Linked DNA regions of Struthio camelus. The protein of the gene in region 1 purifies or fractionates together with the protein of each later gene. This does not show direct contact. Links are inferred from orthologs where the notes say so. Each region holds a gene or a part of one and is shown in the gene's direction. Other genes may lie near its edges.

Evidence for each region.
Region 2: the proteins of RACK1 (region 1) and HELZ purify together in Homo sapiens (affinity purification with mass spectrometry; 3 studies listed by BioGRID and IntAct, counting the BioPlex papers as one, with this or other methods). This does not show direct contact. The link is inferred for Struthio camelus from reciprocal best matches to the Homo sapiens genes RACK1 and HELZ.
Region 3: the proteins of RACK1 (region 1) and IGF1R purify together in Homo sapiens (affinity purification with western blotting; 4 studies listed by BioGRID, with this or other methods). This does not show direct contact. The link is inferred for Struthio camelus from reciprocal best matches to the Homo sapiens genes RACK1 and IGF1R.

The regions. Positions count from the first base shown.
Region 1 is NC_090977.1:572,803-576,543, reverse strand, and holds the start of RACK1 (small ribosomal subunit protein RACK1), read left to right. Parts: upstream 1-1,458; 5' UTR 1,459-3,741. UniProt on the Homo sapiens protein: Scaffolding protein involved in the recruitment, assembly and/or regulation of a variety of signaling molecules. Interacts with a wide variety of proteins and plays a role in many cellular processes.
Region 2 is NC_090960.1:4,353,451-4,357,191, reverse strand, and holds the start of HELZ (probable helicase with zinc finger domain), read left to right. Parts: upstream 1-852; 5' UTR 853-986; intron 987-3,741. Other genes in the region: PSMD12 (26S proteasome non-ATPase regulatory subunit 12), read left to right, coding at 380-589. UniProt on the Homo sapiens protein: May act as a helicase that plays a role in RNA metabolism in multiple tissues and organs within the developing embryo.
Region 3 is NC_090953.1:5,227,566-5,231,306, forward strand, and holds the start of IGF1R (insulin-like growth factor 1 receptor), read left to right. Parts: upstream 1-760; 5' UTR 761-837; intron 838-1,533; exon of another isoform or gene 1,534-1,889; 5' UTR 1,890-1,918; coding exon 1,919-2,012; intron 2,013-3,741. UniProt on the Homo sapiens protein: Receptor tyrosine kinase which mediates actions of insulin-like growth factor 1 (IGF1). Binds IGF1 with high affinity and IGF2 and insulin (INS) with a lower affinity. The activated IGF1R is involved in cell growth and survival control.

The DNA.
Region 1 (3,741 bases):
GGGGGTGTTTGGGGGGGGGCTCCCCGGACGCCTGGGCCCCCTTCTGGGGGTGTTTGGGGGGGGCTCCCCGGATGCCTGGGCCCCCTTCTGGGGGTGTTTTGGGGGGGGCTCTCTGGACGCCTGGGCACTCTTAGGGGTGTTGGGGTGCTCCCCGGATGCCTGGGCCCCCCCTTCTGGGGGTGTTTGGGGGGGGCTCCCCAGACGCCTGGGCCCCCTCTTTTAGGGGTGTTTTGGGGGGGCTCCCCGGACGCCTGGGCTCCCCCCGGGGGTGTTATGGGGGGGCTCCCCAGACGCCTGGGCCCCCTCTTTTGGGGGTGTTTGGGGGAGGGGCTCCCCGGACGCCTGGGCCCCCTTAGGGGTGTTGGGGTGTTCCCCGGATGCCTGGGCCCCCCCTTCTGGGGGTGTTTGGGGGGGGGGGCTCCCCGGACGCCTGGGCCCCCTCTTTTAGGGGTGTTTTGGGGGGGGGCTCCCTGGACGCCTGGGCCCCCTTAGGGGTGTTGGGGTGTTCCCCGGATGCCTGGGCCCCCCCTTCTGGGGGTGTTTGGGGGGGGGCTCCCCGGATGCCTGGGCCCCCCCTCTCTGGGGGTATTTTGAGGGCTGCCCGGACTCCTGGGCCCCCGGAAGCTGCCGATTTCCCCTGCCGCAGGGGGGTGATTCATGATTCCTTCTCCACCTGACTCATCCCCCCCCACCCCCGCAGTGGGCCCAGGTGTCCGAGGCTCCCATCATGGGGGGGGGGGAGGCGATTTTTTAATTACCCCAATGATGCTGCAGGGCCAGGGCGGGTTGGGAGGCGAATGGGGGACACGTGGGAGCACTGGGGGGGTATTTGTCCCCTCGGGGGGGGTTAATTTGCCCCCCAGGGCAGTTGCTGACGGACTGATTTCCCCCCCCCCAGGTGCGACGGACGCCCCCCGGCGAGGAGCCGAGTCCGGCCAAGAGGCTCCTGGTGCTGCTGCTGGCGGTGGTGGGCGCCCAGGTATACAGCACCCCCGGGGAGGGGACGCCCCCCGGGACACCCGCCGGGACCCCCAGGACACCCGCCGGGACCCCCATGACACCAGTGACACCCATCAGGACACCAGTAATACCCACGACACCCGCCATGACCCCCACGACGCCCGCCAAGACCCCCACGACACCCACTGTGACACCCGCCACAGCACCCAGGACGCTCGGGGCCACCCCTGGGTCCCCCCCATCTGGGGACAGGACAGTTTTGGGGACATCCGCGGGGCTGCAGGCACCTAACGGCACCCTGGGGACCGGGGCACCCACGGGTGCCCCTTCCTGCCCCCGGCCGCTGCTCTCCCCTGCCCTGCTGCCCCCCGCTGCTGGCCCAGGGCCCGCGGCCCGCTGAGGGGCACCCGCCGTGGGGCGGCACCCAGGACCCGGCACCCGCCGTGGGGCGGCACCCAGGATGATGGACTTGTGACGGTGCCCATCACCGTAGCCTCGGGGCTGCACCTCAGGGACCCTCCTGTCACTTGTGGGGAGTGGGTAGGGTGGCAGCCGGCACCTTTGGGTGCTGCCCTCGGGGTGGCTCCTGCCTGCACCCTCCCCTGGTTATTTATTTTATTTTATTTTATTTTATTTTATTTTATTTTATTTAAGTGGGATTTATTTAATTTGGGTTTTTTTCTATTTATTACTGTTATTTAAAGAGGGGCGGCGCCCCTCCCCTGACTGAGCGTATTAAAGGGGCGCGTAGGAGCCCGGCGCGGGCCCGGACGCCTGGGCCCTTAGCGAAGGGAAGAGCCGCTCGCGCGGAGGCGGGAGGAAACCGCCGGGGCGCGAAAGCGGGGAAACGAAACCGTCAAAAGGGCGATTGTTTAACGTTGGACTGTTTCGTGCGGGTTCCTCCCTGGAGGCCCCGCCCGTTACCGCCTCGTTCCGGCGTTTCATTAAATAATTAATTGAGTCGTTGGACGTGCGGGAGACGCTGCTTCTTGGGAACCGAGGTGGGGGGAGCTGGTTCCACGACATCGGTGTGAGCCCGGTGCCGGTCCGGACGAGCCCGTAGAGCCTGGTTCTGGTCTGGACGAGCCCGCGAGGCCCCGTCGGGGTCCGTAGAGCCCGGTGTCGGTCCGGACGAACCCGTAGAGCCTGGTTCTGGTCTGGACGAGCCCGCGAGGCCCCGTCGGGGTCCGTAGAGCCCGGTGTCGGTCCGGACGAGCCCGTGAGGCCCCATCGGGGTCCATAGAGCCCGGTGCCGGTCCGGACGAGCCTGTGAGGCCCCGTCGGGGTCCGTGGAGCCCGGTGCCGGTCCGGACGAGCCTGTGAGGCCCCGTCGGGGTCCGTAGAGCCCAGTTCCGGTCCGGACGAGCATGTGAGGCCCCGTCAGGGTCCATACAGCCCGGTGCCGGTCCGGACGAGCTCGCGAGGCCCCGTTGGGGTCGGTAGAGCCCGGTTCCGGTCTGGACGAGCCCGCGAGGCCCCGTTGGGGTCGGTCCAGCCCAGTGCCGGTCCGGACGAGCCCGCGAGGCCCCGTCAGGGTCCATACAGCCCGGTTCTGGCCCGGACGAGCCCGCGAGGCCCCGTCAGGGCCCATACAGCCCAGTTCCGGTCCGGATGAGCCCGTGAGGCCCCGTTCAGGTCCGTAGAGCCCGGTTCCAGTCCGGACGAGCCCATAGCGCCCTGTCGGGGTCGGTCCAGCCCGGTTCCGGTCCGGACGAGCCCGTAGCGCCCCGTCAGGGTCCATACAGCCCGGTTCTGGTCCGGACGAGCCCGTAGCGCCCCGTCAGGGTCCATACAGCCCGGTTCCAGTCCGGACGAGCCCGTAGCGCCCCGTCGGGGTCGGTCCAGCCCGGTTCCGGTCCGGACGAGCCCGTAGCACACTGTCAGGGTCCATACAGCCCGGTTCCGGTCCGGACGAGCCCGTAGCGCCCCGTCAGGGTCCATACAGCCCGGTGCCGGTCCGGACGAGCCCGCGAGGCCCCGTTCGGGTCGGTCCAGCCCGGTTCCGGTCCGGACGAGCCCGTAGCGCCCCGTCAGGGCCCATACAGCCCGGTTCCAGTCCGGACGAGCCCGCGAGGCCCGGTCGGGGTCGGTCCAGCCCGGTTCTGGTCCGGACGAGCCCGTAGCGCCCCGTCAGGGTCCATACAGCCCGGTTCCGGTCCGGATGAGCCCGTAGCGCCCCGTCAGGGTCCATACAGCCCGGTTCCGGTCCGGACGAGCCCGCGAGGCCCCTTTCGGGTCGGTACAGCCCGGTTCCGGTCCGGACGAGCCCGTAGCGCCCCGTCAGGGTCCATACAGCCCGGTTCCGGTCCGGACGAGCCCGCGAGGCCCCGTTGGGGTCGGTCCAGCCCGGTTCTGGTCCGGATGAGCCCGCGAGGCCCCGTTGGGGTCCGTAGAGCCCGGTTCCGGTCCGGACGAGCCCGCGAGGCCCGGTCGGGGTCGGTCCAGCCCGGTTCCGGTCCGGACGAGCCCGCGAGGCCCGGTCGGGGTCGGTCCAGCCCGGTTCCGGTCCGGACGCGCCGGTACCGGCTCCCCCCTCGGCTGTTGCCTCCTGGGAGCCGCGCTCGCTCTTCCGTACGCTGCCGCCTCACGAGCGCTGCCATGTTCCCCCTTCTCACTGGGCGCGGCCATCTTGCCCGCTGGCCGTACAGCCCCCCTCCCTCGCCTCGGCGGGCACTTCCGGTTCCGCCGGAAGTGGCGTCGCTCTTTCTCCGGCCGGGGTTGCCTGCCGCCTGCCGCCGCCGCCAGCGGGAGCGGCCCGGGGCCTGCGCCGAATCCGCCGCC
Region 2 (3,741 bases), on another chromosome or scaffold:
GGAGTAACAGTACGTTAATCAAATATTTGTCACTTTGTGTGTTTGTTGGAAGGCATTCTGACATCTGTGTAGCCAAGCACTGAAAAGTGTTAAGAGTCTATTGGTGTAGTGTATTCAAATTATAATTTCATAAAAGGTAATGAGATGTAGTTCAAATGAAAGAAAATGTTTTTGAATAGATGGTACTAGTAGCTTGAAATGCCACAGGTATTATTACAGTATCATGTAGTTTTTGTAAATACAGTATTACTACTAGTCTATTTCTATTAAGTATAAATAAAACCTTGTTTGCTGTGGTGTAATGCTGTTTGGGAGGCGTTTTGATGCTTTGGTAGCTGAAAATGCTATTATCTTGACTTAGTGCTGTTTGTCTTTGCAGGAATCGGAGGAGTTCCTGTCCAACCTAGTAGTTAATAAGACCATCTTTGCTAAAGTAGACAGGCTGGCAGGAATTATCAATTTTCAGAGGCCTAAGGACCCAAACAATATACTCAATGACTGGTCTCACAAGCTCAACTCACTGATGGCCCTAGTTAACAAAACCACACATCTCATTGCCAAAGAGGAGATGATACATAACCTGCAGTAATGTGCCTCAATAATCTCAGTGCTTTTAAAGAAGGCATTAAATCTTCGTAATAGAGACTATTATTACAGTGTGTATATGGTTTGTTTTCTCCCTGTCAAGCCTTCCTGGTCTAAAATTTAGAACATAATTCTTAAATTCCCGTTGACAATTAAGTTTCCTTGATTATTCATTCGGTTGTTAAACGTTTTTGCTACATTGGTGAAAGAACATAATAAAACTGTATTGCCTGTGTAATAGAATAGTCTTGTGATTTTTTTCTTTTCCCATGTATACCTTCATCTGTCTAACAAATAATTCTGTGGTTATTTCATTACAGGACTATTTTTTGAGGCTGTGATTGAAAGGATATACTGTAAATAAAATACGAGCCTAGGGTTTTACAGTAGCTTGCATTGAGGTAACTTATGATTATATTTATTTTAATGTTATGTCCAAGATGCTGTTTAAACAAAATTCTGAATGTTTGTGTCTGGGAATAATACTACTTGTGCTTGAGGATGATGCGTAGACTTTATTTTATTGAATCAGAGCTGGCTGAGATATCTTCCTGAATCTTTTCTGCTTGGTGCAGGTCACTAGTTTTAACTGTTTTGTCATTCCAGTTTGTAATGGCTACAATAGCAATTATGCAACTAACTAAGTACTTCAAATCTGCTGCTTCTCATGTTTGTGTGTATTGTATTCAGACAAGATACATCCTGTTATTTCCTTTAGCCTACTCAAAAGGGAGGGAAGGTTTGGATTTTCCCCCATCCCGTTCCTCTGTTTTTTGATGTAAGTAAAATAGTAGCATGAGAATAGTACAGTAACTGCAAGAATCAGTGAAACTTGTAATGCATTTACTCTGTTTTTTAGTGATTTTTAGTGCTAGCCATCGCCAACTATTTCGTTCATAGTTGATTAGGTATAGAGTGTAATTGTAAATGATATATTAGGATGTACATGAGTCCTGTCTCTCTAAAAGCACACTGAACTTGATTCCAACTGACACCTTTACCCCAGGTAATTATCATACGAATACACAGTAAACCAGGAAACTTTAGACAGTGATTTTGAGGAGAGAAGTTTGTGATGGGACAGGAAAAGATACAAGTGTTCCAAGCAGTGATTTGCATTTGAAATGTAGACTTTGGACATAGCTTAAAGGAAGCTTGGGAATGTCATTTCAGAGGAAAGTATCTTTATCAAGCCATACCAAGCTAGCTTGCTGCATTTCAGTAACAGAAAAATGGAAAGCTGAACTATCAGCAAGGGAAGGGAGAAGGGAGAGCAGACTGTTGAGGATGTATAGAATGCGTACCTTCTAACTTCTTAAATTGCATTATAATCCCAGTTGTATGAGAGTTGTGTAAAATCTTGTCATGCTCGCCCATTTCTGAGGTAGGGATGTACTAGTTTTCACAAGGCTAGCCTTAGCATAAGCAAAACTGCTTGGCTGCCCCTAGGATAATGAACAAAGCAACTTATTTTGTTTTTAACCTTGTTAGCAGCAAAATACAATCTTCTGGAAATGGAGATAAGAGGGGTCAGAAGTGGGAACTTGCCTACTCCTCCTCCCCTGAGGAGGAGAACCTCATGAACCTTTCTCTTCCCTTTGGCAAATCTGGTTTTAATGTAGAGTATGGACTCTACGGCCCCAAGCATCTAAGTGTGTGACCTGTGTGACTATTCTACCAGGTAGATGAGAGATAACGGACCTTGTTTTCCCAGCTAACCCTCTTTTCCTCTTACCCTACAGAGGAATGGTTCAGTGGTTCCCTGGTCTCTACTTTCTGGGGTTCATGGTGATCCTCCTCCCTCTCTGGCCCAGCTATATCCCTCCCTGCTGCCTTTTTTGGCATTTAGGACAATGTGGTTTCTATCCCCTCTGTCAACTACCTGATGCTGTCAGCACTAGAAAGGACATGGAAGCAAGTGAGGGGACAGCCATGGCTGCTTTCGGTGGTCACCTACTTTGCATGTGCCTTGAATGTGTCTTACTTATGTGTCTTACTCAACCTTATGTGTCTACTGTAGAATCAGTCGTGCTGTTATGTGTCTACTGTAGTATCGGTCATACCAACCTGATCTTGGTTTAAATAAAGAACTTCTCTTTGCAATTTGGTGCCTTTCACATCAGCTGCTATATGTTTTAAGCAACATAGAATGAGGTACCTAGGGATGCACATAAATCATTAAAATGGTTTAAAAACCTGGCCTGTATCACGGACTTAAAAGCACATTTGCAGTGTTTAATAGAAGTATCTGATCTGCTGTGGTTCCGAAAACCGTTCTGTCCAGGACAGTGCTTAAGGTTCGTGAAAAGTAAGCATGTGCCTACAGAAGTCTTTAGCAGAACTTAAATGTACAAGCACAAGGTGTTCTCAGCTTCCACAGACTTAGGGAATTTAGCTCTGCTTTTAGGTGTTAGTGACTAGACTTGGTTATAATTCCATTGGACCTGATGGTCTGTTGTGGAATGGATTTGATGCACCATCTAGACTATGAACAATAGGAAGTGCTGACACCAAATGATCAAAAAATTCGCTATCAGTAGCACTCTTATCTTGTGCTAGTCCAGTTATGTCCTTAAAACCCAATTCAGAAGGATCAGAAGGCTCATTTTCATGCTCTGTATTCATACCAAAGATCAAGATTGAACAAGCTGTTGCCCTTTTGGCCCAAAATAGGTTTTTGTCTTCACTGAATTCACCTTTCACCACCTTCATTTTGGTTTGACAACATACTGCTCTCCTCAGGGTAAGATACACCCATCATGTATCCCACGCTCAATGCCAGAAGCAAGAATCCCTCAGGGTTTTCTTCCCTACCTGTCACAAAGTTGCAAGAAAAATTTTAAAATGTGTAGAAGTACACCCTAATCTCAAGTGAGGTAGAAAATAGGAATCTGTTCTCTTAGCTTGGAGATTTTTTATTAGTGGCAGACTTTATATTATTATGCCAAATGGAAATGAAAGGAGTGTATCTGGAGCCTCTTTGGAAAGGGATGCTACGTTCAAGTTGCTAGGAAAAAGAAAAGCAGTAAGCTTTTTGTGCTGGTTCATCTGAAGAATGCAAATGTATGTCACATACAACTCCTTAATGAACAATTTAAAGATCAATGTAAAGGCATGCAGGCTTTTGAAAAAAAAAGAAAAGAAAAGAAAAGCACT
Region 3 (3,741 bases), on another chromosome or scaffold:
GAGGGGGGGGAGGGAGGAGGCACAGCCGCGCCCGCTCCGCGCGCCGCCGCCGCTCCGGCGCTCCGGCTTTTGCTTCGCGCCCCGCCGCCGCCGCCGCCGCCTGGGCGAGGGGAGCCGGCGCGGGAGGGCGCGCGCGCGCGCCTCCGGGAGGGCGCGCGCGCGGGAGGAGGAGGAGGAGGGCGCGCGCGCGCCCCGTCCCCGTGCGGCCGCGGAGAGGCAGAGGCGGCGGCGGCGGGCGCGGCGCTGAGGCTGTTGTTTACCAGCGTCAGCTCTCCGCCGTGCACAGCGAGGAGGAGGAGGAGGAGGAGGAAGAAGGGGGGAGGCGGCGGCAGCAGCGCGGTGCAAACCCTGCCGCGGGCGAGCGGCGAATTAATTGGGAGGAGCAGCGGCGCCTGCGGCCGCCCGGCAGGAATTACGGACCCTTCGCCGCGCGCTCGTGGGCTTTGACCTTCAGCGGAGCGGCGCGGAGGGGAGCGGAGCGGGTCGCCTCCCCCCCAGCCAGCCCCCGGCTCGCGCCCGCGCCTCGGCCCGCCCGCCGCCGTCGGGGCTGGGCACAGCGCGGGGGAAGGTTTTGCAGCGCGCGCAGCCAGAGGAGGAGGGAGAAAGAGGAGGCCAAAAAAAAAAAAAAAAAAAAAAGGATTTACAAATTCGCTGGGTGGTTTTTGTTGTTGTTGTCGTCGGCGGCGGCGGCCCCCCCCCCCTCCTCTCCGCCCGCCCCCGGCGCGATGGCACGGCGGCTCGGAGGGATGCGAGGGGGAGAGCGCCGGCGGGAGGAGGAGGAGGAGGAGGCGGCGCGCTGAGCGGCGCGGCGCGGCTCGCCCTGCTGCTGCTTTGTGTGTGCGTGTGTGTGTGTCCCGGATTTTTCTTCCTTTTTAATTTTTTTTTTAATTTTTTTTTTTTTTTTGGTGCGTGGTGGGGGGAGAAGGAGCCTGTGGCAGCGGCGCCGAGGAGAGGAAGAGGAGGAGGAGCAGGGGGAAACCTCTTCGATTCATTTTTTGCTCCGAATTCCGCATTTCGGCTCTCTCTGCGGCCAGCCGGACTTGTGGCGGTGGTGTGGCTGGGTTTTTTTTTTGTTTTTTTCCTTTTTTTTTTTCCCTTCCCCCCTTTTTTCCCCCTGCCTCGCCGAGGGGGGGATCCCTTCGCCGCTGCGCGGAGGGCGCTGACCTGCCGTCGCGGGAAGCGCTGTTGTTGTTTTGTAATAAGCCTTCCCTGCGCGCTCCCCCCACCACCACCCCCGCCGCTTTTCCTTGTTTTTTTTTTTTTTATTATTATTATTATTTTTTGGGTTGTTTTTGTGGTGTGAGGGGTGTGCGCGCGCGCGCGCGTACGGCCTCCGCGTGTGCCGGCTTGGAAAATGGAGGTGGAGGATGCAGACTGCCAGCGCCGAGGTGCCTCACGTTTGCGACTGCTGTGCACGACGCGCCGCTGCAGCCAGCGCTGAGGGCAGGCGGCGGCGGCGGCGGCAGCGCCCGCGCAGCGCCCGCGCAGCCCGCAGCGCGCAGCTCGCTCGGAGCTCGGAGCTCGGCCTCGCCCGGCCGCCCCATGCCCGCCGCCCGGGGCTGCTGCTAGAGCTCCGCAACACACACACACACACACACATATATATATATTTTTATTTTGGTGTGGTTCCTCCGGAAGATCAACACCCAAGGACCTCGAAACCCCTTCGGCTTTTTGCAAGCCGAAGGGTCGTCGTCGTGTTTTTTTTTTTAAATTAATTATTATTACTACTAATTTCTTGAGGCAACGTGGATTTATTTATCCTGCCCCCTTTCTCATCCCCCTTCTCCCTCGTTCGTATTTTTTAGAGAACGGGGAGGGGGAGGGAAAAAAAAAAAGGACAATTTTGGACTTTTTTATTTTTACTTTTTTATTTTTTTTTCTGAAAGGGGGATTTTGTCCAATTAAAAAAAGAGGAATGAAGTCTGGCGCCGGAGGAGGGTCCCTCGCCTTCTTCTGGGGGTTTCTGCTCTTCTTCGCCACACTTTGTCTGTGGCCAACAAATGGAGAAAGTGAGTATTGTGCGTGGCGGCGCGGGGGGTGTCGGCAGGGGCTCCCTGGGGGGTGTTTGTGTGTGACGGTGTGCCTGAGGGGGGTCGGCGAGGGGCTCTCGGGGTGTGTGTGTGTGTGAGGGTGTCGGCGAGGGGCTCTCTGGGAGGGGGTGTGTGTGTGTGAGGGTGTCGGCGAGGGGCTCCCGGGGTGTGTGTGTGTGAGGGTGTCGGCGAGGGGCTCCCGGGGTGTGTGTGTGTGGGGGTGTCGGCGAGGGGCTCCCGGGTTGTGTGTTTGTGTGTGAGGGTGTCGCGAGGGGCTCCCGGGGAGGGTGTGTTTGTGTGTGAGGGTGTCGCGAGGGGCTCCTGGGGTGTGTGTGTGTGTGAGGGTGTCGGCGAGGGGCTCCCGGTGTGTGTGTGAGGGTGTCGGCGAGGGGCTCCCGGGGTGTGTGTTTGTGTGTGAGGGTGTCGCGAGGGGCTCCCGGGGTGCGTGTGTGCGTGTGAGGGTGTCGCGAGGGGCTCCCGGGGTGCGTGTGTGCTTGTGAGGGTGTCGGCGAGGGGCTCCCGGTGTGTGTGTGTGTGAGGGTGTCGGCGAGGGGCTCCCTCGGGGTGTGTGTGTGTGTGTGAGGGTGTCGGCGAGGGGCTCCCTCGGGGTGTGTGTGTTTGTGTGTGAGGGTGTCGCGAGGGGCTCCCTCGGGGTGTGTGTGTGTGTGTGAGGGTGTCGCGAGGGGCTCCCTCAGGGTGTGTGTGTGTGTGAGTGAGGGTCGGGGAGGAGTTCCCGGTGAGTGTGTGTGTGTGAGGGTGTCGCGAGGGGCTCCCTCGGGGTGTGTGTGTGTGAGGGTGTCGCGAGGGGCTCCCTCGGGGTGTGTGTGTGTGAGGGTGTCGCGAGGGGCTCCCTCGGGGTGTGTGTGTGTGTGTGTGAGGGTGTCGCGAGGGGCTCCCTCGGGGTGTGTGTGTTTGTGTCTGAGGGTCGGGGAGGAGCTCCCGGTGTGTGTGTGTGTGTGTGTGTGTTTGTGTGTGAGGGTGTCGGCGAGGGGCTCCCGGGGGTGTGTGAGGGTGTCGGCGAGGGGCTCCCGGGGGTGTGTGTGTGTGAGGGTGTCGGCGAGGGGCTCTCTGGGAGGGTGTGTGTGTGTGTGAGGGTGTCGGCGAGGGGCTCCCGGGGTGTGTGTGTGTTTGTGAGGGTGTCGCGAGGGGCTCCCGGGGTGTGTGTGTGTTTGTGTGTGAGGGTGTCGCGAGGGGCTCCCGGGGTGTGTGTGTGTTTGTGTGTGAGGGTGTCGGCGAGGGGCTCCCGGGGTGTGTGTGTGTTTGTGAGGGTGTCGCGAGGGGCTCCCGGGGTGTGTGTGTGTTTGTGTGTGAGGGTGTCGGCGAGGGGCTCCCGGGGTGTGTGTGTGTTTGTGTGTGAGGGTGTCGGCGAGGGGCTCCCTGGGTGTGTGTGTGTTTGTGTGTGAGGGTGTCGCGAGGGGCTCCCGGGGTGTGTGTGTGTGTGAGGGTGTCGGCGCGGCGGTGGCTGGCGCGTCGCAGCCCGCCTGTGGCGATGTGTGTGTTTTTCCGCCGGTTACTGAATCCGCTCCTTGAGCACGTTTGAAAGCGTTGCCCTCCCTCCCTCCTGCCCTCCCGGTTTTCCGGCGGGAGGTTGGCCTTTATGCACCGGTGAGAAAGAGCTGCGGCCGCTGCCTCGCGGCAGTGATAGCGGCCACCCGTCGCCTCCTTGCTGTTCCCCGCACCTAACCTGTACACCCCTGAGAGCTCCCCC